Linked DNA regions of Drosophila melanogaster. The protein of the gene in region 2 interacts with the protein of the main gene of each other region in a pairwise test. Each region holds a gene or a part of one and is shown on either strand. Other genes may lie near its edges.

Region 1 (5,067 bases), on a different chromosome or scaffold from region 2:
GGCCCATTGAAATCTTAGTTGCAAAATAAATGAACATATATCAAATAAATACAGTCCACTACTGTTATAAATGCAACTAATATACTAATGTACATCTCAGCTTGCTGGCCCTTTGGCAGAATGTTCACACATGAACACGAATATATTTAAAGACTTACAATTTTGGGCTCCGTTCATATCTTATGTAAATGAATCGAGAGCGATAAATTATATTTAGGATTTTGTTATCTAAGGCGACATGGGTGCATTGCTCAAAAACATGTAATTTAAGTGCACACTACATGAGTCAGTCACTTGAGATCGTTCCCCGCCTCCTAAAATAGTCCCTTAGTGGGAGACCACAGATAAGGTCCTCGCCGCTCAAGATAGGCAGATGTGCCCGAGCGTGGGACCTCGATAAGGCGGGGACTATTTACTTAGGCCTCTGCGTAGGCCATTTACTTTAAGATGCGATTCTCATGTCACCTATTTAAACCGAAGATATTTCCAAATAAAATCAGTTTCTTACAAAAACTCAACGAGTAAAGTCTTCTTATTTGGGATTTTACAGTGAGTCTACAATTTGGCGCGCTTAAGGTAATCCTTGTAGGTAACATCACGCCACCAATGAGGACGCTCGTAGACACCTGGAGTGGAGACAAGCGTGCGCTGCAGATGCTGGTAGACCTGCGAAAGGATAGAATCTTTAGTAAGAGTAGCAGTTGCTTATGGTAGACCACTTACGTTTCCATCGCTCATGCCCAGAGGAGAGTTTAGAATAAAGTCTGTGGGAGCAATGGCATCCACCAGAGCAATGGCTTCGTTCTTCAGCAGGGGAAGCAGAGCCAGAATGCCCTGTTCGTACAGCTCCAGTTGGTTAGAGTTTTCGCGGAAGTAACCACCGCGGTAGAAAGCAGCGGAGTACTTTGTGACCAAGTGGGCGCCATAGAAGGAGAGCACCTGCTGCAGTACCTTCTTCTCAGCAGAGTCGGGCAGACCAATTACAAACTTATAAAACACGTAGTAGATGGTGCGCTAAAAGAATATTAAACTTGGTTATTTTACTATTTAGTTGGGGTTTAGAGGGTTGGCATCTCACCTCGCCGTAGATAATGGAGAGCTTCTGGGCGGCAAAGACCTGGATGTTGTTCCTCGTCTCAAAGGCATCCTTTCCTTCGCGCTGCTGTTCCTCAACTCGTTTCACCGTCGTATCCAGTTGCCAGACGGTAAGCCAGTTGAGGGCATTAAGTAGATCTATAGAAGTGCAATAAAATTGCGTTATTCCTATCTTATATTTGGATAACTAAGAAATACTCACTGAGCGGATCCAAAACTTCGGCAGGAGTTCGCTCCTGACCCTTGCTTTGCAGAATTGTGTCCATATCCTTCAGGAAGGAGACTGTCTCCAATGGGGAAACTGCCACGAAGTCGGCATTGTTGCGTTGCAGACTGATCAACCAATTGGACGCTTGCTGGATGAGCGTGTTGTTCTCGCCCTCATAGGTGCAGTTGGCATCGTTGTCGTTGCGAAGTTCGCCCAAGCCAGAAGATTTAAGATAGCCATGACCGCCACAGGCCTCGCGGCATTCCTGAGATTAAAACAATATAACCGATAAGTAAAAGTGGTTATATACATATATAAAGCATTCATACCTGGATGCCATCCCTGGCAGCCCAAGTGGCAACTGGTTTGAGTGCCGATGAGATCGCATGGATCTCCATGCCCGCTTGCGACGTGTCCTCGCCAGTGAAGCCCTTCATGGTCAAATCCACGTTCTCTTTGCCTATCCAGAGTGTGGCCACCCGCAAGGCGATTGTGGTGGCCAAGTGGGGAATTAGTCGGTATTGCTGTGACTGATACTCGATCACGGGCCACTCCGCCGGGCTGTTGGTAGGGCCAAACTGGCGTCTGCTGGCCGCATAGCGAGTGGCAATTGTCACAGCCTTGCTCAAGGCCACATACGTGATAGCAGTGATATTGACGCGACCCACGGAGAGGGCACCCAAGGAGGCGCCAAGGCGCTTACGCTCGTCCTTAATTTTACTGGTGTAGTTTCCCTGCGCATCGATGTCACCGGTCTTGGACAGCAGATTTGCCTTAGGGATACGATACTGGTTGAACATCACAAATCTGCAATGCCAAACAAATCGAAATTATTTCTGTTGCTGTTGATTAGTTTTATCAACTGATAGAAGAAAGTACTTGCCCGTTATCAATGCCATTGAGACCGATCTTTTCGCCCATATCGCCGACGGTTACGCCGGGGAATGGAAGCAATGTACGCTCGTCCCGAATGGGAACAAGGAAGGCCTGCAGGCCCTGGTGCTTGTCATCCGGCACGTACAGCTGGGCGTAGACGATTGCGTGCGTGCAAGTCTTGCCTAGATTACCGACCCAACACTTGGCCGCCTCGAAGTCTGGCGTGTGGATGATAAACTCCTGCCTTTTCACATCGTAGGTGGCACGGGTGCGCATGCCGAGCGCGTTGGTGCCGTGAGAAATCTCAGTGAGAGCGTAGGCGCCCAAAATGCGGTTGTCCGCGATCTTGGCCACGTACTTGCCCAGGCGGCCAGATCCGTTGGAGACCAGCGTGCTGGGGAACATGCCAGTTGAAAGGCCGAACTTGACCGAAGTGCTGAAATCGTAGCTAAAGATGGCCTGTCCGAAAGCAAGCAGAAGATGTGGGGTTCCAAGATACTGAAAGAAAGACAGGAGATTTAGGCAGCCACACTTTCAGGAGTACGCAACGCATCCTACCTCGTTGACGCCGTAGAACTGTTGCTCCCACAGAAGATGCTGCCGCTTGTTGGCCATTTCGCGGGTGCGTTCCAAATCGGATCCTGGCTCCCGCTGGTAGTCGGGGTGCTGTTCCATCCATTGCCACACCTTGTGCTAAAGACGGAGTGACATGTAAACGAATTACTCAAGTGTGCAGATAAGAAACGGGCGACGATTAGACCGGGCGGTTGGCGGCCTGCAGCTCCGACAAAAGCTATCGAGGCAGTCTGCACTTCGACCCCGCTGACCATGTACATATGTAACAAACTGGAAATGGTAACGAACCTTCAGCCGTATGTGATCCTCGCCCTCGAGCACCACGTTCATGCGCTTGTAGCAGAAGCTAGCCCGCTCACGGTACTCTTCCAAAGGTCCGCTACGGAAGTCGGGAAAGATCCGTTTGTCATCGTAGATGTTGGCTGCAGCCTTCTCCTCCCGGCGGCCGCTGTAATAGTCGCCCAGTGCGGTTAGTAATGAGTTCAGACCGTTTTGGTCACCACCATCGCCATCGCCTACTCCGCTCGCCATTGCCCAGAGAACTGGCTCTTGTTGGAATGTTGGATTGGTGGACGTTGTGGTCGTCAGTCGAGGCGATGGGGCTGTGGGGCAGGGGTACTTACTTTGTGCTCAATGCAACCATGTTGGAGTTCGATTCTAGCGACTGGTCTGGCTGCTTCGAATGCTAGGCGCGAAATGCTTGAAAGTCCAGGCACTCGTAACTATTATTGGTAAAATAGCCAATGTCCAATGGCCAGCGGCGATAAGAAGGAATCCGCTTATCCGCACTTCATGGCCAAGTAGCCTTTTAGTGGTTTGCATCCGCCGCGGATAAGATACGGGCCCTAGGAGAATGCGGGATTAGGGCGGCCCGTGCAGGTGGTGGTGGGTGCTGCCTGCGAAATTCGAATCTTTTAGCGGCCACAAACATTGCTTTAATTTCCTATCAGCCATCAGCCAACAACAAGCGCGATAAACAAACAATTTTAACCCAGTTTTTCACCATTGAAGATAACATAGTTTGACGTGACTTAAGCCATGAGAAAGAACGGTGTTATATAAATACAAAATGTGAAGTTTTTTAAATTCTGTTAATTATTATATAATATAATTATTTAATTATTATACATAATATACATAAATTTCATGTTTAATTTTCTTTAATATCACAATTCAATGTTTTCACAAAATGTTTTAGCGGGGGCGTTGCCAGACCTTCTCAAGGTAGCCAGGGCTGGAATAGTAGGTCTGGCGCGTAATTTGAATATTCTTTCTATCAGAAACGAGTCATTTGCTGGTCTAATTTTATCTATTTTGTTATATAAAAACATTACAATATATATAAAAACATTACAATCCACATTTAAAATATGAAAAGAGCATCCATATCCATACCATACAATTTTCATGGATTCTAAATTTGATTTTAATTAAAACTGTTGAATAGTTTATTTTTTTCAAGAGCCCACAATAAAATGCGAATATGTACATGTAATTGATCTAATAGCATTTATTTGATTACGTTCTTAATACAACTTACACACTTAGTTAACATGCACTCATTTTTCCTTCGTTATTGGCTTGTCAGTTTATTCTTACAATACACGTCAGATTATTTATAAAACTAAATTGTAAACATCCGCATAGTAATTCGTTTTTAATACAATAAATAATAACCAAAAAAACACACTGAAGTTGCCTTTTTTGATTTTAAAAACACTTTGGAGATTGATTGATATTAGCAATTAAGGGCGTACAAATGACGGGGTAATTAGTGTGCAATCAAAAACGTTCTGCATTCGAATGTTTAAAATACAATTTTACATTTATAATTATAATCTGACGTCTAGCTATAACCTACGTGTGTATTTCGAGTTCAAATCTTACATTTCACTCTTTTGTATAAGTTCTGGCTAAAATCCTTGCAATAAGCCATTTCGGCAATTTGTTTATTAAACTAATTAGGTAACACGTAGTTATTGATTACAATTTCAATTTTTTCTATTTTCGTTTCAGTGGCTGCGCAATCGCAATAAGTTCCTTAATTGTTGCTAAAAAATGTTCCATTAGAAAAAGCTATAAAAATTACGTCGCTTTTACATATATATGTACGCATTAAAACTTCATTTATAGAGCTGCTTACGAAAAATTCAAATTGACGATTCAAATAAAACGTTGCGTGATATTTTGGTGTTGCTCATTTAAACCGCTGATATTTCTAATTTTCTTAAGATTATCAATAATATGAATGCTTGTATATATTGAATGAATATAATAAATTTAAAAGGAAATAAATGGCCTATTTGAGCTAA
Region 2 (4,045 bases):
TTTTAAGGAAATCGATGATGTCGTGACCGCCATAAATGACTTGGGCCTATCAGATTGCATGCTCAACGAGTACAGAGATGATAATTTGTCTGTGATGGGCTTAAACGTTGCCATACGAGGAGTTATGATGTCCAATACGTGCCCTGTCAGCGGATGGATGCCTGTTCGAGGACCCAAGCGAATCAATATACAGCCACAGGCAACTTTGGCCGAACAAAGACTGGTGGGTGTGGGCTACGCGGGCATTGCCAGGACGCTCTACGCCACGGAGTACAGCTCATTAGTTAAGTTAATAGCAGGCAAGCCTGTGGATACTACTTCAAGCCAAAGCACAGACTCAAAACAAGACTTTTAGTAAATCAAAACTATTTATCTGATGTTAAAACTAAAGTAGCAAGGAAGTTTTTAAAAAATGTCCCTAGGACCAAATATGATATCTAACAATCGCAAAACCCAGTTTATTATATAAATTAAATGTACTGCGCATCCCACCGTAAGAAAATGAATAGCGGTAGTTATTCGAATTCATGTTTTAACTCTTTATTTATCTACAAATCGATTTTTCATTATACAAAGTTCCATTAAAATCAACACTTCGAGGCAACACCGCTAAACTATACACCATACAGACCAACAAAAATACAATTGGGAGGCGTCGTTTGCAGATAATAAAGTAATGCTAATTCTTTCTGATGAATGCTTTTTGATGAGCTATTTGATGATTGAAAGGAACTCCTCACAATTTAGGCGTCCACAGATGACTTAAAAACTAAACAAGGATTATGTCCATTTATCGCCACATTCTACCACAATTGAGTCTTTTATTTACACACGGCGGAGTGACATACTCTTCTATTTTATTCTATTTGACAACTGCATCGGCTGGCCTGGATACATCGCTGGAGTTGTCGTCCTCCTCCATTTGATTTCCATCTAGCAGGCGCTGACGCTCCTCCTCGTTGGCATGACCATTCAGGTGGATCGGTGATCTAGACCTGGAGCGGGTGCGGCTCCTCTCGTGCCGCTCGGCATGCCCATTGGCTATGTTCAGGCCGGCCACGCCCATTTCGTGACCATCGCTGCTGGTCGAGGAAGTGGTGGACGTGGTGCTCGACGTGGTGCTGCTGCTGTCGCTTTCGCTGTCCTCGCTGGTGGAGTCCATGGGTGTGGGTTGTGGCTGCTGGGGAGGCTGTTGTCTAGCCTGCAGCTCGCAAGCTGAACTGGGAGTGGGCGCCACCGCTGAGGGCGGGGAAGCTGCGGCCGCTGCTGCTGCCGCTGGTCCAGCTGTCGCGGAACACGTGCGCAAGAGGTGGGTGCGCAGAACTGGAATAAAAGGCACAAGTTATAAATTTTCCTGGTTTTTCAAATTATTAAAGACATCGCATACATTGATTCTCACGTGATAGTTGGCGAATCTTATCATCCTGCGCTCGTAATTTGGCTCCAAACTCCTTGGATATGTTCTGGGCCTTCGAATATCGATCTTCGATTTGCATGCACTCCTGGATGAGCTCCTGCTTGCTCATCGTCTCCAAACGTTCGAGCCGCGCTCGCTCGTAGACATCGGAGAACTCCTTGGAAAGGAAGAGCACCTGATCTTCGGTCTGGGAGCCAAAACAGTTGTCGTCGGAGTCATCTTTGTGCAGCTCCGACATGTGTTCCTCCATTAGGAAGCGGTTCGTGTTGTACGGAACGAGCAAGGAGCGCGAACGAACCAGCTTGGTTCTGCTATTCTGTCGTTGATTCCCCTCCAGCGTTGCTCCTGCACCCGTTGACATATCGAGTTTCCACTGCGGATAATGGTTCTTGGTCTTCTTGGGCTGCATCTTGGATTTTTTTCCCCGCCGATGTTTCCTCTTCGGCATTCCCGAGCCGCCTCCTACAGCGACACCGCCTCCGCCACTGGCGCCCCCTCCTCCGCCGCTATCCAAAGGTCGTTGTTGGGAGCCACTTTCTGGAAAGAGCAAGAGGACCAAATTCAAATTTGAACCGCCAAAATACTCGAAAATGCAACTCTGCCCACTGCAGGGGCAAAGGAAAGAAAAAAACAATCCAATAAGACAGTCGCCATTTGTCGCTTGCCTTTTTCAGCGCTCCCCGAGTGACGATTTTTACCATTTTTTACAGCTTCAGCCATGTTGCCAACACAAATACTTAATTTATTAAGCACTTAATTAACACTTTAAGCTATAACTGGAGATTTGTTGCCGATTTGTAGGTTTGCGATTTTTATACTAAGCGAACTAAAACTCGATTGAAGTGTAACCAGGTGCTGACGCCGGAGTCCCACATAAAGTTCTCCGCCTAACGCGACCAAAAATACCCCAATTGCTATCACATTGAATAATATTAGGCGCCAATTTCAAAATAAATAAGAAAATCTCCATATTTTAAAGACAATCTTTCTACTTTGTTACCCACAAGGTAAGTTATTGAAATATTGTTTCTGAATCAAAAGATTTAGTTATTATTTTAGTTTGTTTTACTGAACATTTTGTTGTACCAAGTATTTACTTCAATCTATGCTTTGAGACTGTCGTGAATCCAATCGATGTAGGACGCCACCCTGGTGTAGACATCCGGCCAGTCGGGATTGGGGCAGGGAACGGGTCCGAACGACACCAGTCCACCGAGCAGATAGCCATCGTTCTTGAACAGCATCAGTGGTCCACCAGCGTTGCCGTAGCACTCCTGGGAATTGGTCAGGCCACAGAGCTTCGAGGCTTGGATGCGCAACTGCTGGCTGGCGTACTTCCTTTGACACTCCTCAATCGAACTAATGGTCACATAACCTTTTCGCATCCTTTGCGAGGAACTAGCCTGCCATCCGGCCACCTCGGTGACCAGGTCCTCCAGCTCGTCCGCTCGCAGCTGCTTGTTGGGCAGGCAAATGGGTTGCACAAAGTCGTTGAGCTTGGCAGGACTTGCCAGTCGGACGAGGGCAATGTCGTTGATCTGCGTCCTGTCGGTGCGATTGTAGAGCGGATGTGGAAGCAACTCCTCGATGGCTATGTCCTGGTAGGGAGGCGCGCAATCCGCCACTTTACTATCCTCATGGTACTGACAGTCGGGATTCGTGCTAGTGTCCCATTCACCCAACCGGACAGCAGTAATCTGCAGATTGCTAGTCGCCGCCTGGGCCACACAATGGGCAGCAGTTAGCACATACCGATCACTGATAAGCACACCGCCACACGCATGGATCTTCTCCTGGTTGCCTGCGGAGTAAAAAAGGTGGGGATTAATACTGTGACCTACATATACATATATTACCAAAACCGGCAACTCACCGCGCGTATACTCAATGAGGGCCAGCCAGGGAAACTCCCGGATTCGCGTATCTGTGTCATTCGAACGCTGCCAACGAACCTTTCCGCAATCCGAGGGCAAAAGTGGGTGGGTCAGGGCACCCAAGCCGGCGGTACTAGGACAGCATACCTAGAAAAACAGTGGCTTTATCATTATATTATAAAGTATATCTCTTTTACGAGGAACTCCCAAAAGCGTACTCGAATAACGAGTTTTTTTTTATGATACAGTTTGAGGTCACTTATTTTTACAAAAAGTTTCCTTAACATTAACAATGGAAGTAATTAAAATATTTAAAAGGAGAATGATATCTCATTTGAAACCATTCGTATTATCAAAATGTGGTGTATTTCCCTATTCAAATCGTTTACAAGTTCTTATCTGTAGAAAATGATAAGAACGCAAGCGTTTATAAAATTCCAAAAAAATGAAGCTGGGCAGTGAAAGTGAAAACCAGAACAGGCCCAATATAATCGAGCTTGTTTTATTTAGTAGCGCTTAATGGATCAAGTTGTGGAAGTTCGAGTTCAATTGGGTAGGGAGAGATACTGTGGTGAATCACCCACCTGGACGTCGTTGCCCCGCACTCCGCACTGATTATCACGGAGCAGGTTGCGATCGCTCTGGCTGAGATTGCCGGATAGCAGGATTCTCATGAAGTAGTCACACTCCCGGATCGAAATGCAGTGACCGGTGACACGGCCACTCGGAATTTTTGCAACACAATTGATGGGCG
Region 3 (7,935 bases), on a different chromosome or scaffold from region 2:
AATCAGTGACATCACCGATCATCATAACCCAATCATCTCAGCCAATCAGCAGAAATGACAGAGACCAGTAATCAGCAGCCTGGCGGCGAAGATTTCAATGGCCGCCACTCGGCATCGCCGGCCCGCACCATTGATTCGCATGATTCCACCACCGGCAGCATGGATACCATTGTGGATCGCAGCCTGAATCCTGAGGAACTCCATCAGGTGGTGACCACCATCGAACATAGCACGAATACCACGAACTTGGCGGGATCGGGCGGTAGTCTGACCAACTCGCAAATCGGCATGCTTCAACGGGATGAGAATCGAAAACAGCAGGAGGACCAGGAGCAGGCGCGCCAGGATGCCCAAAGTCACATCTATTCGAGTCCTGTCTACGATGAGAAGCCGCCGGCGGTGAAACTCCTATCCGCCGCCCTAGACTTGGATGCCCAAAAATCCCAGGCAAACAATGATGACGATAATAAGCCCAATCTTATTTCGCACCAAGAGTTCAAACAACAGCTGCAGGAAGCTATTGCTTCGCGGCAACCAAACCAGGTAGGTCCTACAAAAAGTCAACCAAAATTAATCAATTTGTATCAGTTGAATCACCTAATAGGGCTAGAGAATCTTTAATTGTCCATTTCTGTACTGCCTTGCTCTCATTAATCCTCAGACAATCGAATATTGTACCAAACACATTTTTTCTTCTGTGCAGGTGAATGGCACTAAGAGTGGGGCCACCACTTTGGACTCCAGGATCAGTCGTAAACAGCGCTGTCCACCGGAATTTATTAAGTACAAGGAGGGCAGCGAGGGTGGAGGCAGTGGCTCATCGCTTTCCTCGAAAGATCGGCGCAAGCGCAAGGCGAGCAATGAATGCTGCTCGGCATTTCCACTGCAAATAGTGTTGGGCACTCTCCAGTTGCTCCTGGCCATATCGCTGGTGGCCCTGGGATCACTTCTGATCGTCCGAGAGGCAGCGCTCTCACTGGCGGGATGCGGCATCTGGACGGGATTGATAGCAGCCGTTACGGGCTCCCTTGGAGTGGTGAGCATGCGCAAAACCCAGACAGCGTTTTTGGCCCTCAGTTTGGTCTGCATCGCCAGCAGCACCCTGGCTCTGGCTATTTCCGGCGTGGGATTGTCAAGGGACCTCAACAGGATGGCGGAGCAAAAGGGTGAACAGGTAAAGCCGGGCTCTTCGCATTGAGGCATGTTTTTTTAATGGTTTCATCCATTCTAGTTCGACTTGATCGATACCAACAGCGAGGTTTCCGCTGCCTGCGGCCTAATTTTTGCCCTGTTTCTTCATTTTGTGGTCAGTATTGTATCCGTCTATCGTTGCGCCCTTCAGATTTGCACTAAGTAAGTAAGCTACTCCTACTACTCCTACTTTTATATATGAAAAGTGGTTGTTGTCCACTTTTGAAGCAATAATAATACTGAATCTATAAGCACAATGTTTTTTTTTTTATTGTTTTTAAAAGCGCTTGTACGATATCCATTAGTTTTTTACCAATTGAATTTGGAATGTTGCGGCTAATATAAGTAAGTAAGTCTGCAAAACCGTTGTATTTATTTAGCAAAGTTTCCGGAAATCAATATAAAAGGGATATAGAAATTTATAATAACGGTTTTTAGACGGTTTACACAAGATAACTTGTTTCGTGACGACGTTTTCGTAATGAATTGGTATTTTTCGCGTTTGGTATATTGCTAGACACGGTCACACGGGCCAAATCATTCTCAAATAAAACTATATTTATATGTTTTTTTTTTTTTAATTGAGTTATATAGACTTTTAAAACCGAAAGAATGTATTAAAAGTGTAAACAAAAATTTGCTGAATACGCACAGTAAAAACATCGGCTGCAAAAAGTAAATCGATGTTTTCGGAAAACTGAAACTATCGATGTAATCGATGGTAACATCGATTTTTTTGCAGCTCTAAAAAAACTTTATTGTGAATGTGTAAATAATAGTGATAAGAAGCAACACAGCTGTGCGGATTGCGAAGCGGATAGTAAAGCAGACGGCGTACGAAACGTGGGCGCATTAGGAAAGCGCTGCTTGTTGGCCGTAGGAGCAGCAGGGAAACCAGAGAAATCCGGAGAGGCAACAGCGCAGTCGACTGCGACGCCCACGCAGCGGAAGTAATAAAAAAGAAAAGTGAAATCGGAAGTAGGGAGAGTTCGGTGGAGGAGGAGCAGCAGGAGGAGTTGGAAACGCAGGGGGAACTCGGGCTCTAGCATTGTGCATCAGGATCTGGAAACAAAGGAACCGCTAGGAGCAGTTGCCTCACAACGCTAGCAGCCACCGAAGTCATGCCGCTGGCCGATTCGCAAAAGGATCTCCGCCAGCAGCCTCAGCAGCAGCAGCAGCAGCAGCATGTGTCCTCCACCAGCAGCAGCAACAATGCGGAGCAGCAATGCAGCAGCAGCGGATTGGGTCTGCAGCTGCGCCAGCGCATGCAAATTACCTCGTCCGGCTGCAGCAGCCTGGCGGTCACGCCCATGGAGCACACGCCCACCGAGGACGATGAGAGTGGCGGAGGCAACAGCGGTGTCACTTCCTCGGTGACCACTGTGACATCATCGCAACGCCGCCAGCAGCTGCAACAGGTGCAACAGCAATCTGCTCTGCAAGCGGCCCTCGAGCAGCATCACATCTCACCAACAGCAGACTTGGATTCCGCTAGGAAAAGGCCGACGCATCGAACCTTGTGCCCGCCGCCAGAACTTATGGAGCTGAGTGATTCCGAGTCCCAGGGAGGCGTGGAAACTGGCGGTAGGAGAGAAGGGGCTACTGGGCGAAGTGCACCTGATTTAGAAGACACCGAGCCCCTATATGAAACAGAAAACGAATTCGAGCTTAAGGAAGTCATCAAGGAGGGTCACGACAAGGCCGATCCTTCCCAGTTCGAGCTCCTACGGGTTCTGGGCGAAGGTAGCTTTGGAAAGGTGTTTCTAGTGCGAAAGATCATAGGCAAAGATGCAGGAACACTCTATGCCATGAAGGTGCTCAAAAAGGCCACCCTAAAAGTAAAAGATCGCGTAAGGAGCACAAATGAACGAAAAATACTAGCGGACGTGGGTCATGCTTTCATCGTACGTCTTCACTATGCCTTCCAAACTCCCGGAAAACTCTACTTGATACTGGATTTTCTTCGTGGCGGTGATCTGTTTACCCGTCTATCCAAAGAAGTAATGTTTACGGAAGAAGATGTCAAGTTCTATTTAGCGGAACTGGCGCTAGCTATGAATCACCTACACACATTGGGCATTATCTACAGGGATCTGAAACCGGAAAATATTCTACTGGACGAGCATGGCCATATAGCCTTGACGGACTTTGGTCTATCCAAGCAGCCTTTGGATGGCTCAAAAACATATAGCTTTTGTGGAACCGTAGAATACATGGCGCCGGAGATCGTGAACCGAAAGGGACACGATTTTGCCGCTGATTGGTGGAGTTTCGGGGTGCTCATGTACGAAATGTTAACGGGGAATTTACCCTTTCATGGCCAAACCCGCCAAGAGACTATGAATCAGATCCTTAGAAGTAAGCTGGGCATGCCGGAGAATTTGTCGCCAGAGGCGCAATCCCTGCTACGTGCTCTCTTCAAAAGAAACCCCCAGAATCGTTTGGGTGCGGGTGCCCAAGGAATTCTGGACATCAAGGCGCACTGCTTTTTTGCCACCATCGACTGGGTGAGATTAGAACGAAAGCAGGTGCGTCCGCCTTTCATACCGGCGGTTAGCCGTGACGATGCCTTTTACTTTGATGTGGAGTACACCTCAAAGTCCCCCAGGGATTCTCCGGGTGGCCCGATCTCCGCATCTGCCCATGAGATCTTCCGCGGGTTCAGCTTTGTGGCTCCTGTCCTTCTGGAAGGTCAGTGTGCTGGCTCGAATATGTGCTCCACCAGCGCCAGTCCTCTGCATAGTATAGCTCCTATTCCTGCTGCTCCAGTGGGAGCCCCTCGAACATTACCTGGTGTTCTTCCCGGAAACTTCCATGCGGAATATAATCTACTGCAAGAACTGGGACGTGGAACCTTTTCAGTTTGTCGGTTGTGCGAGCATCGAGCCTCCAAGAAACATTACGCAGTAAAAGTAATCGAAAAGGCAGCTGTGGCCGCAGCATCCACATCCACTTCTGCCGATTGTTGGGAGGAGGTGGAGATTATGCTGAGGTACGGCAACCACCCAAATATCGTCACTCTGTACTCTGTTTACGAGGATGCGGGGTCCGCATATCTTGTGATGGAGCTGCTTAAGGGTGGCGAGCTTCTCGATCGGATACTTGCCGTGGGCCAGATGTGCGAGAGTGAGGCCAGCGCGGTGTTAAGGACAATTGCATCTGCGGTAGCATATCTCCATGAACATGGCGTGGTCCATCGAGATCTTAAGCCTTCAAATATGATATATGCCAGTATGCGGCAAACTCCCGAGACCCTAAAGCTCTGCGATTTGGGTGAGTGCGGAGCGGAACTAGTTAAATATATTTTATTATAGCCTTGCAGTAAATTTTCCAATTGCTGACAAACATGATTCACTTTAAAAGCTAAACTTTCGTAATTTTTAATTCCTTTAACTATTATTTGTTTTCTAAGTTACTTTGTTATTTGCAATTTTAAAGGTTTCTTTTCTCCAAACAGAAGGTTTTTCATTTTAAGATCTTATTTAGCCAAAGTTCCATCCTATTGCAATTGAAATCATTTGATAATATTTAAATTCAGAAAGCATTTATTTCTGCAAGGCTATATATTTTTCTGTGCGAGTATTTCTTGTTGGTAGAGCAGGAGTAACCTTCCGATTTCCGCTTAGGTTTCGCGAAGCAGCTGCGCGCGGACAACGGCCTCCTGATGACGCCATGCTACACAGCCAATTTTGTGGCTCCCGAGGTTCTAAAGAGACAGGGCTATGACCTGGCTTGCGACATCTGGTCGCTCGGTGTGCTGCTTTACATCATGTTATCCGGCCGGACGCCTTTCGCCAGCACTCCAAATGATTCACCGGACGTAATACTGAAGCGCATCGGATCAGGACAAATTGACTTCACAAGCAGTCGCTGGGCACTGATCAGTGTGCCGGCCAAAGAACTTTTGCGTCAGATGCTACACATAGTACCGGAGAATCGGCCGACGGCGGCGCGAATACTTGAGCACGACTGGCTGCGGGAGCAATTCGCCGGCGGCGTACAGCTTACAGAGTATGCGGTGGCGCCCGGATCCCAACTTTCGCTGGGCGCCCAGCAGCAGCAGCAGAATCACATCTCCATGGCCTTAAGAGGCGCTGTTGATGCCACTTTCCGGGCTATTGCCATACCCCAGGCGGCGAATGTGGGACCCGTAGAACTTTCCATGCTCGCCAAGAGGCGGGCCAAAGATCGAGCCAACCTGCACTCCTAATCCTGGGCGGCTGCATGGTGTCCGCGGCGCCAGGCCAAGCGGCAGATAGTCCGACTACTTTTCCGAATCTATAGTATTCTAATCCAATGCTGCTGTGCCAATCCGCGTCGTCTTGTCAAGGACAATGCGCAGAAGCTTGGTTCACATCCACAAACGCTGGGCAATCCTCGCCAACGCTGCCGCAGCGCCAAGCTGCGTGTGGTTTAGGTTTTGGGGGAATCGGCCTAACCTAAAGTATTTGACAAGTGTTAATTATTTATTTTATATGAAAGCATGCCAATATGCCAAGGCCATAACGCACTGTGCGGGGCATCTATATACACATATATATAACTATACAAATACTGATATACATCTATATATAGCTATTTATATAACGAATCCTAAAGCAAGGGCCTAGAGAGCGCGTGTGAATGTGGCGCCAGGATCATCCCAGATGATTCCTGAAACCACATTATTTATCCCAAACTGGAAATTAAAAAAAAGCCTCTCGCCCAAGTTTACATATTTTTAATTAAATTAATCGTAGCTAAATTTTTCAACATCACCGTGTTATTGTTGCTTAATTAAATTAATTAAAATGAAAAAAAAAATGGAAAAAAGTATTAGCAAAACAAACAAAAATTAAGAATAAAAGCCGCAATCCTTTTATATAATAATAACTTTTTTCGCCAAACTATAAAGGAAGAACAAAGAACCCAAAAAAAACTGTGTAGAAAGATAAGAAAATCAAACCACAAGAGTTTCCACAATTCTTACTTGGAATGTCAATTTGCACAATGAAATATGAAACTAAGCAAAAGATAAACATAACTACCATATTATACAGAATGTGTACATAAAGCGGAAACTGTGCTTTTCGGGTTTATAAGGCAAAGGATATTAGAAAAGAGTATTTTATTAATAATTCCCTAAACAATAAAAACCGACGTTCTTTCCAACACTGCACAAGGGTGCATATTGTTATTTAATTGTAATTAAGAAACGTAAATCCTGCTAACTTGTCTTACAGTCGCGAAACGCACAGTTTAGTTGTAATAACGCCGGGGAAACAGTTGTGACAACATCAAATTGGGTTTCCATTTTGTTTGCTAACGTCTTCCAACAGAAATTATATCAAACAATATACCTTTTTGCGCTGTAACCAGATATAGAAAGTTCCGACTTACCATTGGATGATTTAGAACCGAAACCGCGATATATTCCATCATACTCGTACTGAATACAAATAGGATAGCGTCGTATAAACGACTTGGGTTAATGCAGAGAATTCCATTTGTTTGTGCTAGTTTCTCTAAAAACTGCACGATCATCAGTTCCCAACAACTTGTTTCGACTCTTCGAAGACAATTCCAATTTTGTTGTATTTTTGCCAAGGAAAACTTGTTAAAATTATGCTAGAGGGAAATATACAAAAAAAAAAAAAGAAAATACAAGCAAAGTGGAACGAAATTGAATAAATTATGTAGAAGAGCCATGTGAATCCTTAGAAGCTATGTATGCCACTTGAAAAGCAGAAGTTTCTTGTTTGCGAGCTTGTGTGTGTGCATAAGAGGCTGTGTGTGTGCTTCTTGTAAGTGCATGTGTGTGTGTGCTAAAGGATTATTGTGCTGTGCCACTACTGAACTTACTGCTACCAAAAATAAAACAATAACTTCATATACATATTTACACCACCTAAACAAGGTTAGTAAAACTTAGAAATTTTTTAAAAAAGGATAACATCCCTTGAATAAAACTGTATTTTCGTGGTGTTATTAAAAGGAGTTGGAGGGGGAAAATGGTATGATTATCCTAAAGTACATATATAATTAGCTAGCTGCGGAGGGAAAACAATGTGTACACATTGACATATAATATAGAAAATATTTAAGAAGGATCTTGAGATGAACATTTCGCCTAATAGTTGTCACGATAAACTTTTGCAAAATATGTTGCGTCTACAGCAATGATTTATACTTAATTACCTTGTTTTGAAATGACGACAACCAAATTGAAGGGATACGTCGTTTCCCTGCTTCGTTTTTTAACAGATTCATACACAAATTATAAAACGAAGTTGAGACAGGCAGAAAAAGAATTTTAGTCCACGGGCTGATGAGAAATCTAATCCAGCGATTAGATTAAAACTCATGTATACAAAAGTGGCCTACTATGATAAAAACTGTAATCATTTATCAATAATTCCGAACGGTCTCTTACAAAAATGTTCGGGTTGCACAAAAAGGACAGAGACAACAGATAGTTTAAGCATACAATACAAGCAACCCACTTTAAAGCCAACTCTCGACTAAATTCCCCAAGAACATACATATATATCTTAATCATATATATGAATGCGTGAATATATTTTCTTAGTAGATTTTAACAGCTTCCAGACTATACATACATTCAAATGATTGAATTCCGATATGAATCATTTAATTAATAAACATATTCAACGAAACTGATTCGAAATTATTGTTAAGTTGAATTTTTCAAACCAAGCAGAAGGAACCTAATTGAAAAACAAATAACCAATTCGAATTGTTTCG
Region 4 (8,001 bases), on a different chromosome or scaffold from region 2:
AAATTTTGTTGTTAATCAATAGCAATTAGATAATAAGTGAAATAATGCTCAGACAACTGACACGGTCAATGGGCCCGACCTCGCGGCTGCTTAAGCAGGTCAACTATGGCACAAATGCCCCAGCTGGCACCCACATTCCCGTGACCAAGGCCCTGGAAATTGGACAGTGGGAGGAAAAGCTCAAGGCCGCCGGCGTCGAGGACAGGAAGTTCAACGTGAAATGCATCGTGTCGCATGTCCTGAAGCAGAAGTTTGTAAGTATCTGTGAGAAAAGCTGGCTATCAACATCACTAACCATGTTTACGTTCCGTAGAGTTCGGTTCCTGACTCATTTGACCAGCTGCAGCTAAATCCCGGCCAGCTGGCGGATTTCGAGCGCTTCCTGGAGGCCCGTTGTGCCCGCATGCCGTTGCAGCACATCATTGGCGAGTGGGACTTCATGGACATTACGCTGAAGACATCGCCGTCGGTCTTCATTCCACGCCCCGAAACGGAGGAGTTTATGCGCCTGGTGATCGATGATCACAAGAACGCAAAGCACGTCGATCTTTTGGAGGTGGGCTGCGGCTCGGGCGCCATGTCCTTGTCCATGCTACACAGTCTGCCGCAGGTGGTGGCCACTGCCATTGAGCGTAGCAAGGCGGCAACCGTTCTGGCTGCGGAGAATGCCAAAATGCTGGGGCTGCTGAATCGATTTGAGGTACACAACCACACCATGGAGGAGGACAAGTACCTGCCGGAGGCGCTGAAGGACAAGAAGTACGATTTGATCATCTCCAATCCTCCGTATGTGAAAACTGAGGAGTTTCAGTTTCTGCATCCCGAAGTCGTGGTGTAAGTGATGTTATACCAGATGGATGCAGTGCACTAACTATCTTATATCCCCAGGTATGAGAACCTTAATGCCCTGGACGGTGGGTCCGATGGATTGAGGGTGGCTCGACTGGTTTTCGACTTGGCTTGTCGGCACCTGCGTCCCGGTGGCAAGCTCTGGCTGGAACTGGGCAACGACCACCCGCCGATGGTGAAGACCATTATGAATCTGAAGTACGAGGGCCGGCTCAAGTTCATCGCCGGCTACAGTGACCAGTATCAGCGCGAGAGATTCGTTCAGATCGAGAAGGTCTAGGCGAGATTGCGCCATAGACAGGACGGAATGCTATGACTTTGACAATGCAATTAGCTATAACGTTGCCCATGCATTTAGCTGTGATTTGATTTAAGACCAGACATACCTGCACGCTGCCCAGAGACTCACACCTATATAAACAGAATATATAGCGCTATTAATCCTTAAGTTTCGTCTCTGAATCTTTTAGCAACAACCGCAGGCGGTATTACTTCACAAATATACCTGTATAAATTGCACAATGCAATTAGCTGTTTGATTTATGACCATATTATTATCAGTATACAAAAACCACAACGACTTTTACCTAAGGCTTTCTACTGCATTTTTGATCCTATAATAATGGATTAACATGATTTTAAAGATCAATAGGTTAAAAGTATAATGCACCTATAATAACTGGTCACTGATTTAAACTATGGCGATTATGATTTATAACCAGAGGCTTGCTGCCATAAATTGGAGGGTGTTAATGATCATCGCGGATCGAGTATAATGCTGTTTAATCAAACTGATGTATTCTATATCTGCGATAAGCAAAATGCTAACCATATTTTTGGCCTGAAAGATGTGTATCCTGTCAATATATAGAATCAGAATATTTCTATGCAAATTAGAAAGTTTTTGCTTAAAGTTACCACTTTAATGCTTATAGGTGTACTGATTATGAAAACAAGGACACATGTCCACAAGGATTACCATAATTATGAACCCGAGTGCATAAATCCCCCGACTTCGCATCTGAATCTTGTTGTAACCGCTCCGCTGGAGAGCTTTAAGCTCCGGAGCGGATAAAAGCTCCGACAGAGTGGCTCGGAGCAACAAGTGGCTAACTTCCGTTGCCAGTTGGAAGTCGAAACTCGCGCCGGACGAGTCTGCGGAATCCGGGTGCGCGAGTGGAACGCGGATTTAGATTGTCGTAGCTCTTTAATTCAATTGACGATTTCGAGCTGCGATCTCCTTCGTTCGGCTGGTGTGTGTTGTTTCACTTTCAAGTACGCATACATATGTGTAGTATAATTAACAAATGGCTAAATCATAATTAAAGTCGGAGTTTCAGTGGATATCACAATGAGCGCTTGATGAAAGTCAAGAAGAGGGAACTTAAAAAGCGCCGAAACAAAACAAAAACGAGAAACACGTTAAACGAGAAATTGATTTTAAAAATTCTACATAAATTTGACCATATAGATTTGGGTAAATGAATGAATGTGCATATATATGTACATGTATATATATATACATACGCCCAAACTGCGATTTGAAGGCGGTTTGAATGTGGATTGGAAACTTTTAGAAACCAATTAGCCAGATCGTGACATTACTTAATGCATTTATCCGCCCGATCGACGCGTGCAAGTGTGTGCCTGTGTGCGTGAGTGCGTGCGTGCGTAAACATGAATACCGAATTGAATCGAGTTCAAACTTGCGTTCTTTTCGCCGACTGGTTTTCCGGCGAGGCTGGCTTAATCGCCTTGCGTTTGTAATTTTAGCACACTTTCAATATTTATTGTCGGTCCCTGCTCCCCGGCGCAGAAAATGCGAATAACAATCTGAGCAAACAAGATTCGGCAACGAATTTGCAGCTTGCCGCGCTGTGCAAATAAAAGTATATATAAAAGTATGTACATATATACATTTATATATAGCTGGTAATGCCTCCTTTGGCAGCATCAATATGTGCACCTGCTACGTGCAACACCGACTTGCAGCAACAGCCAACCGATGAGCGAAAGTCGCACGCCGATTGTGTTAACAAGTGTGTGGCTGGCTGCTCCCTGCCCGCATTTTAATTCATCATCCGCACCGTGTGCCAAGGCACTGCGATTCCCAATCCGTGGAGCTGTGAACGTTTTTGGCGACCTGCAGGCTAAGCAAGCGATTTATATGCTGCCGCTCACATGGCACAAGGTCCCATCCAAAAACAGCAGCGGCCAAGATAGTAGTTCATATGCACATATTTGGGTTCTTAACAGGTTAATTGTCATTTTATAATGATATGGGTTTAATAGGTTTCCATATCTGATCCAAAACTATACAGAAATGGAAGAAAGTCATCATAGGTGATCTTTTATTTGATAATTTCTTACATAAAGTTACTACTTCTTGTTCCCCATTGTACGTTGTGTACAGTGCGCGACGGCTAAGAAAACGGAGTGAAAATCAAGATAGTCGTTATCTAGTTTAGATGGCCTTTCGCAGTCGGGGACTGGGAAACATTGAAATGCAAATACGCCGCCTCGGTAGTTTCATTTGTGTGTCAAAAATTGTGTGGGGGTGTGGGGGGTTAACCCGGCTTAGACTCTAATCTGATCGATCGGAGTGTGAGAAATGGCCTGCTAATGGAATACTTACCACTTTCCCACACTTTTCAATCGCTTCAGCCGAGTGTGTCACCTGTGCGAGCCCATTAATACCCAAGGATGAGCTGGACAAACGAAAGTTAGTTGCGATCGCGTGAAAAGGGAAACCGGACAGTCGGTTTTTTGAGTGCGGATACAAAGTCTACATGTGGCACAACGACAACAGCATCGGCCAGTAATTTAAATGCTTCGCGGCGGCAATTGAAAGGGCCAGCAATTAACCACGACTACTGCAGCTGCGAGGCATAGTGGAAAATCACTTTTATAGACGTACATACATAACTCTATATATACATAGAGTTAGCTCCTGCAGCAAAATGAAGAACCGCCAGCGAACGCGCCGAATATCGCTAAATGAAAACCACAACAGATACATGGGCAGCGGCGGCATCGATGTACAAATAGTTACCAATACAAAGGAGCCCAATCAAGTCAATTTAAATTCATCGTCAGCCACGACGACCTCAGCGGAGGCTGCTCTGCCCGCTTCGCTTCCACTTGCTCAGATAGCGCAGCAGCCACATACCCATCCCCATCCCCATCCCAATCCCCATCTCCACCAGCAACACCAGCTGATTGTGACGCCCACAACGATGACGGGCAAGTATCATCCAGCGCACGCCAAGCTGCGAAGATGCAAATCGACGCCGAGTCTCAATTGCGATGGCATGGCGGAGCCCATGGAGGAGGACCAGCTCCATCGCTTTGCAGCATGCTCACGTAACCCCGCCGCGGAGGCTCAGCAGCATGCACAGCCATCGTGCAACAGCAGCAGCAGCAGCAGCGACGGCAGCTGCAACAGCAACAAGTGCAGCAGCAACATCTGCGGTGCGCAGCCAACAACTCCGGAGTCATTGCGCTTCGGATGCGCTCACTACAAGCGGCGGGCCATGTTCGTGGTAAGTGCAACAGGCAGTCCAACTCCATTCATATTATCTATGGATGCTTTTCCAAGCATTACATAAAAGGAAAAGCCCCAGAAAAGTTATAAAAGTTATACACTTGAACTTCTTTGATATGTATATCAATACAAATTTTAATCCTTTTTTAGTGTATCGTAGTATCTATAACCATTCTTAAGATTAGTAGATAGATGTTCGTAGAAAGACTAGACGGATCCATGTATCTAGCAGTCTTACTTGTAGTGAGATTAGTTTATTCAAACCTCAAATGTGAAACCAGTCAACTTATGTGATATAAGAACAAACTTCAATTTTGAAAGTTCTTTTTTTATTTTATACGGGTATAGTTCAATTCCTGGGTCATCAGATAAAGAATTATGCAATTGGAACCCCTATGTCATGATTAGAAAGCGGATCAGTCATTTCACTTTTATAAAATGAATCCTAAAAATACATTGAAATAAATTCAAAGTGATAAAGCCATTAAACATTTCACCCATTTGGAAAATTTTCAAGAAGATTATGATGGCGCCTCTAAATGGCATTTGTATGCCTATTTATCCATCTATCTATCTATGTGTGTGTGTGTGTCTATCCAACACAGCTACCTTCCTGAAAATGGGCGCATTTAACCTTTATTTATTCGTTCCTAAACAAATAAAGTGGCTAAACTCTAAACAGACACCTTTGGCGAAGATTCTTTTGTGTCTGTCTGCTGACTAGATTTTGAATTCAATTGGAGGGCATCGCTATTTGCACGGCAAGTGTTTGGCTTGTGTGGACAGCTTGACGATGTCCGGCATCCAAAAAACTAACTGGTCAGCATGCTCCGCTGAGCAGGAACTGAGCAGGAGGCGAGTGGCCACTGGCCAGTTAACACCTCCATTCGCCATTCATCTGGGCAAACAATGCGTTTGTCTTGATCGCTCGCGTTTGGATAACAAATTATGGGGCATCTAAAAATGTTGTGTGTGCATATAAAGCAATCGTAGCACGGCTATATTCAGGTTCTTTACCTTAACAATTAGTAGAGCCAGCAGACATAATTATCGTAAGGTGATAAGTACAGAAGTTCGAAGGTGGGAAAAGTAACTCAGTGCTGGGGAAAGTGGTAACCATTTCATGTATAAAGTATCTCATGCAGAGAAGACTGCAGCTGCACTTGATTAGATAGATTTGTTTGTGAATGACCTGGATTATTAAATAAAGAAAAAGAAAGTTAAATGTAAATATTTAAATACTTATAATTCCAACAGTAGTGAGCGCTTATTTGTTGTTGAAAAGCAGCCAATTCGCGATATGAATTATTAATTCCCCAAAAATTCTGTATTATGCGCTATGGCCTTACAATACTTTCCAAAAAATGTCACGTAAATCCGTACACACGCTTCAATCTGTCCCACATTTTAATAAAATTCGAATGTAGAGGTTTTTGCTTTCGTCTGTGCACCGCGAGAAATTCGGATAAGCGAGGGTTTTGTGCACTAATGAGGTGCCCATTGAGTGTTGAATCAGCTGGGTTATTTTATAGTCAAATATTTATTTTCGCCCGACAGTGCGTGAAATAAATGTATACATGAATGTGGACATAAGCTGAGAGCAGTATGTGCAATCCCCCAAGTGGAGCAATGCCCCATGGATATCGCCTGTTCCCGCGAATCTTGTATCAATTTGTGTTAGAAGCTTTGTTTCGTCTTGGCTAAATAAATTTGAGATGTCTGGAGTTAGCCAATTGCAGATGCAAACGATCATTAAAATACGATCGTTAGTGAAGCACAGCAATGAAAGCCGGGGGGAATGACAAAGAAACCGGATTCGAAGACTCTTCTCCGGTTCGGTTCTGTACTTCGAGTGTTATCATCGCAGCAGCAGCAGAGTTGAAATAAATACTTGTATACGAAAAAACTGTTGTTAAGTTATAAATAATTCTCAAAGATAGTGGAGATAGATGTGTGCGCGAGGCTGGAGGCAGATACAAATGGCTGGGTGTTGGCTGTAACTAAGCCGAACTCGAGGATACACAAGATAATTAAGGGCATAAATTAACTTATTTTCAAACTTTATCCCCAAGACAAAACTGATAGAACTATATCATGTAGTTCGAGCTGTGCATCGACAGGTGAACTAATTAGCAGCCACCTAATTAAACGACACGAGTACCTTTGGCATCTTTACAATCGGATTGGGATTCACCCGCTGATTTGACTCGAAATTCGTACAAAATTCGATTCAGTTTCAAGTGCCTTGTTTATGATAATGCTAAGTTATTGCCTTTGGCATGTAGACGTCACTAGTAGATTTGTTTTTTAGTCGGTTTCCAGGCAGATTTCTTAAATTAGCAACTCCATTTGGGGAGTTAGGAGTCGTGCTAATTGCCGCTCGATAATAGGTTTTTCGTAGTCCTTGACTGAGGGGTGTAGTCCATCGGCAGGTGTGGCGGGGAGCAATCTCAGCTCCATTTAAAGTGGAATTTTTTCGAGCAGCGATTTCTTTTCAGCACTAATTTGATCTGATACTGATCACGCAACTATATCTTTCTCAGACCCCCTGCTGCAACAAGTTCTACAAGTGCCGATTTTGCCACGACGAGAACGAGACGCATCACTTCGATCGCAAAACGCTCACCGAACTAATATGCTCCGAGTGCAATACGCGGCAAACGGTGCGGGAGCAGTGCCTCAATTGCGGCGTGAGATTTGGTAAGGTAAGATATCCATCCAGGTGTCCAAAAATCACAGCAAAACCCTACTAGTAATATCATTTTGATGTACTTACAGTACACCTGCCTGATCTGCAACCTCTTCGATGATGCGGACAAGCAGCAGTACCATTGTCATGGATGTGGGATTTGTCGCATTGGCGGTGCGGAGAACTTCTTCCACTGCGAGGTGTGCAACATGTGCCTACCTATTCAGCTGAAGATCGATGGCCACCGGGTGAGTTGGTACTACATTTGGCACTTCATTGGGCTTGATTAAGATTTGGCCTGTAAGTGGGAATGCTGACCTCCGCGATTCGAAAGCAAATCAAAGAAACACATTAACTTTTTTTTTTTTTTGTCAATTCATTACCAAAACCGGTTGCCTAATTGCTATATGTAGCGATATATGATCTGCGATCTGCAATCTGGGATCCAGTTGAGTGGATATGAATGTCAAATGTGCTGAAGCAATGACTTCATTAATTGACAGCGAATTGGGCCAGAGACTGGCATGGCTGATTGCTAAATCCTTGCTAATTGACAACGTGTCTATTTTCCCGTAGTGCGTGGAGAACATCTCGCGATCGCACTGCCCCGTGTGCCTGGGCGACATCCACACTTCGCGCATACCCTGCCACATTCCCGACTGCGGACACCTGCTGCACAAGATGTGCTTCGACCAGCTGCTGGCCTCCGGCCACTACACCTGTCCCACCTGCCAGACCTCGCTGATCGATATGACGGCGCTGTGGGTATACTTGGACGACCAGGCGGAGCGCATGCCGGTGCCACTGAAGTACGAGAATCAGCGAGTGCACATATTCTGCAACGATTGTCACAAGGTACGACTAGATATACATAATACTAACATTCATGAAAAGCTCTTATAACCTTATCCAATTCATT

Evidence for each region.
Region 1: the proteins of Hexim (region 2) and Acox3 interact in a two-hybrid assay, tested with the Drosophila melanogaster proteins (one large-scale study listed by BioGRID).
Region 3: the proteins of Hexim (region 2) and S6kII interact in a two-hybrid assay, tested with the Drosophila melanogaster proteins (one large-scale study listed by BioGRID).
Region 4: the proteins of Hexim (region 2) and Rchy1 interact in a two-hybrid assay, tested with the Drosophila melanogaster proteins (one large-scale study listed by BioGRID).

What each region holds. Positions count from the first base shown.
Region 1 is NT_033779.5:6,444,564-6,449,630, forward strand, and holds Acox3 (Acyl-CoA oxidase 3), read right to left. Parts: upstream 3,300-5,067; 5' UTR 3,287-3,299; coding exon 3,044-3,286; intron 2,873-3,043; coding exon 2,738-2,872; intron 2,678-2,737; coding exon 2,187-2,677; intron 2,111-2,186; coding exon 1,633-2,110; intron 1,569-1,632; coding exon 1,298-1,568; intron 1,234-1,297; coding exon 1,079-1,233; intron 1,015-1,078; coding exon 724-1,014; intron 667-723; coding exon 556-666; 3' UTR 507-555; downstream 1-506.
Region 2 is NT_033777.3:14,657,653-14,661,697, reverse strand, and holds Hexim (hexamethylene bisacetamide inducible), read right to left. Parts: upstream 2,261-4,045; 5' UTR 2,138-2,260; coding exon 2,083-2,137; intron 1,955-2,082; coding exon 1,388-1,954; intron 1,324-1,387; coding exon 863-1,323; 3' UTR 521-862; downstream 1-520. Other genes in the region: Rad17, read left to right, coding at 1-355; CG3505 (uncharacterized protein), read right to left, coding at 2,521-3,218, 3,291-3,438, 3,876-4,045.
Region 3 is NC_004354.4:22,528,039-22,535,973, forward strand, and holds the start of S6kII (ribosomal protein S6 kinase II), read left to right. Parts: upstream 1-1,925; 5' UTR 1,926-2,312; coding exon 2,313-4,464; intron 4,465-4,817; coding exon 4,818-5,401; 3' UTR 5,402-7,935. Other genes in the region: CG17600 (uncharacterized protein), read left to right, coding at 55-543, 704-1,174, 1,232-1,353.
Region 4 is NT_033779.5:6,459,652-6,467,652, reverse strand, and holds the start of Rchy1 (ring finger and CHY zinc finger domain containing 1), read left to right. Parts: upstream 1-1,983; 5' UTR 1,984-2,124; intron 2,125-3,513; 5' UTR 3,514-3,809; coding exon 3,810-4,391; intron 4,392-6,936; coding exon 6,937-7,098; intron 7,099-7,171; coding exon 7,172-7,330; intron 7,331-7,658; coding exon 7,659-7,937; intron 7,938-8,001. Other genes in the region: HemK1 (HemK methyltransferase 1), read left to right, coding at 45-254, 314-834, 889-1,129.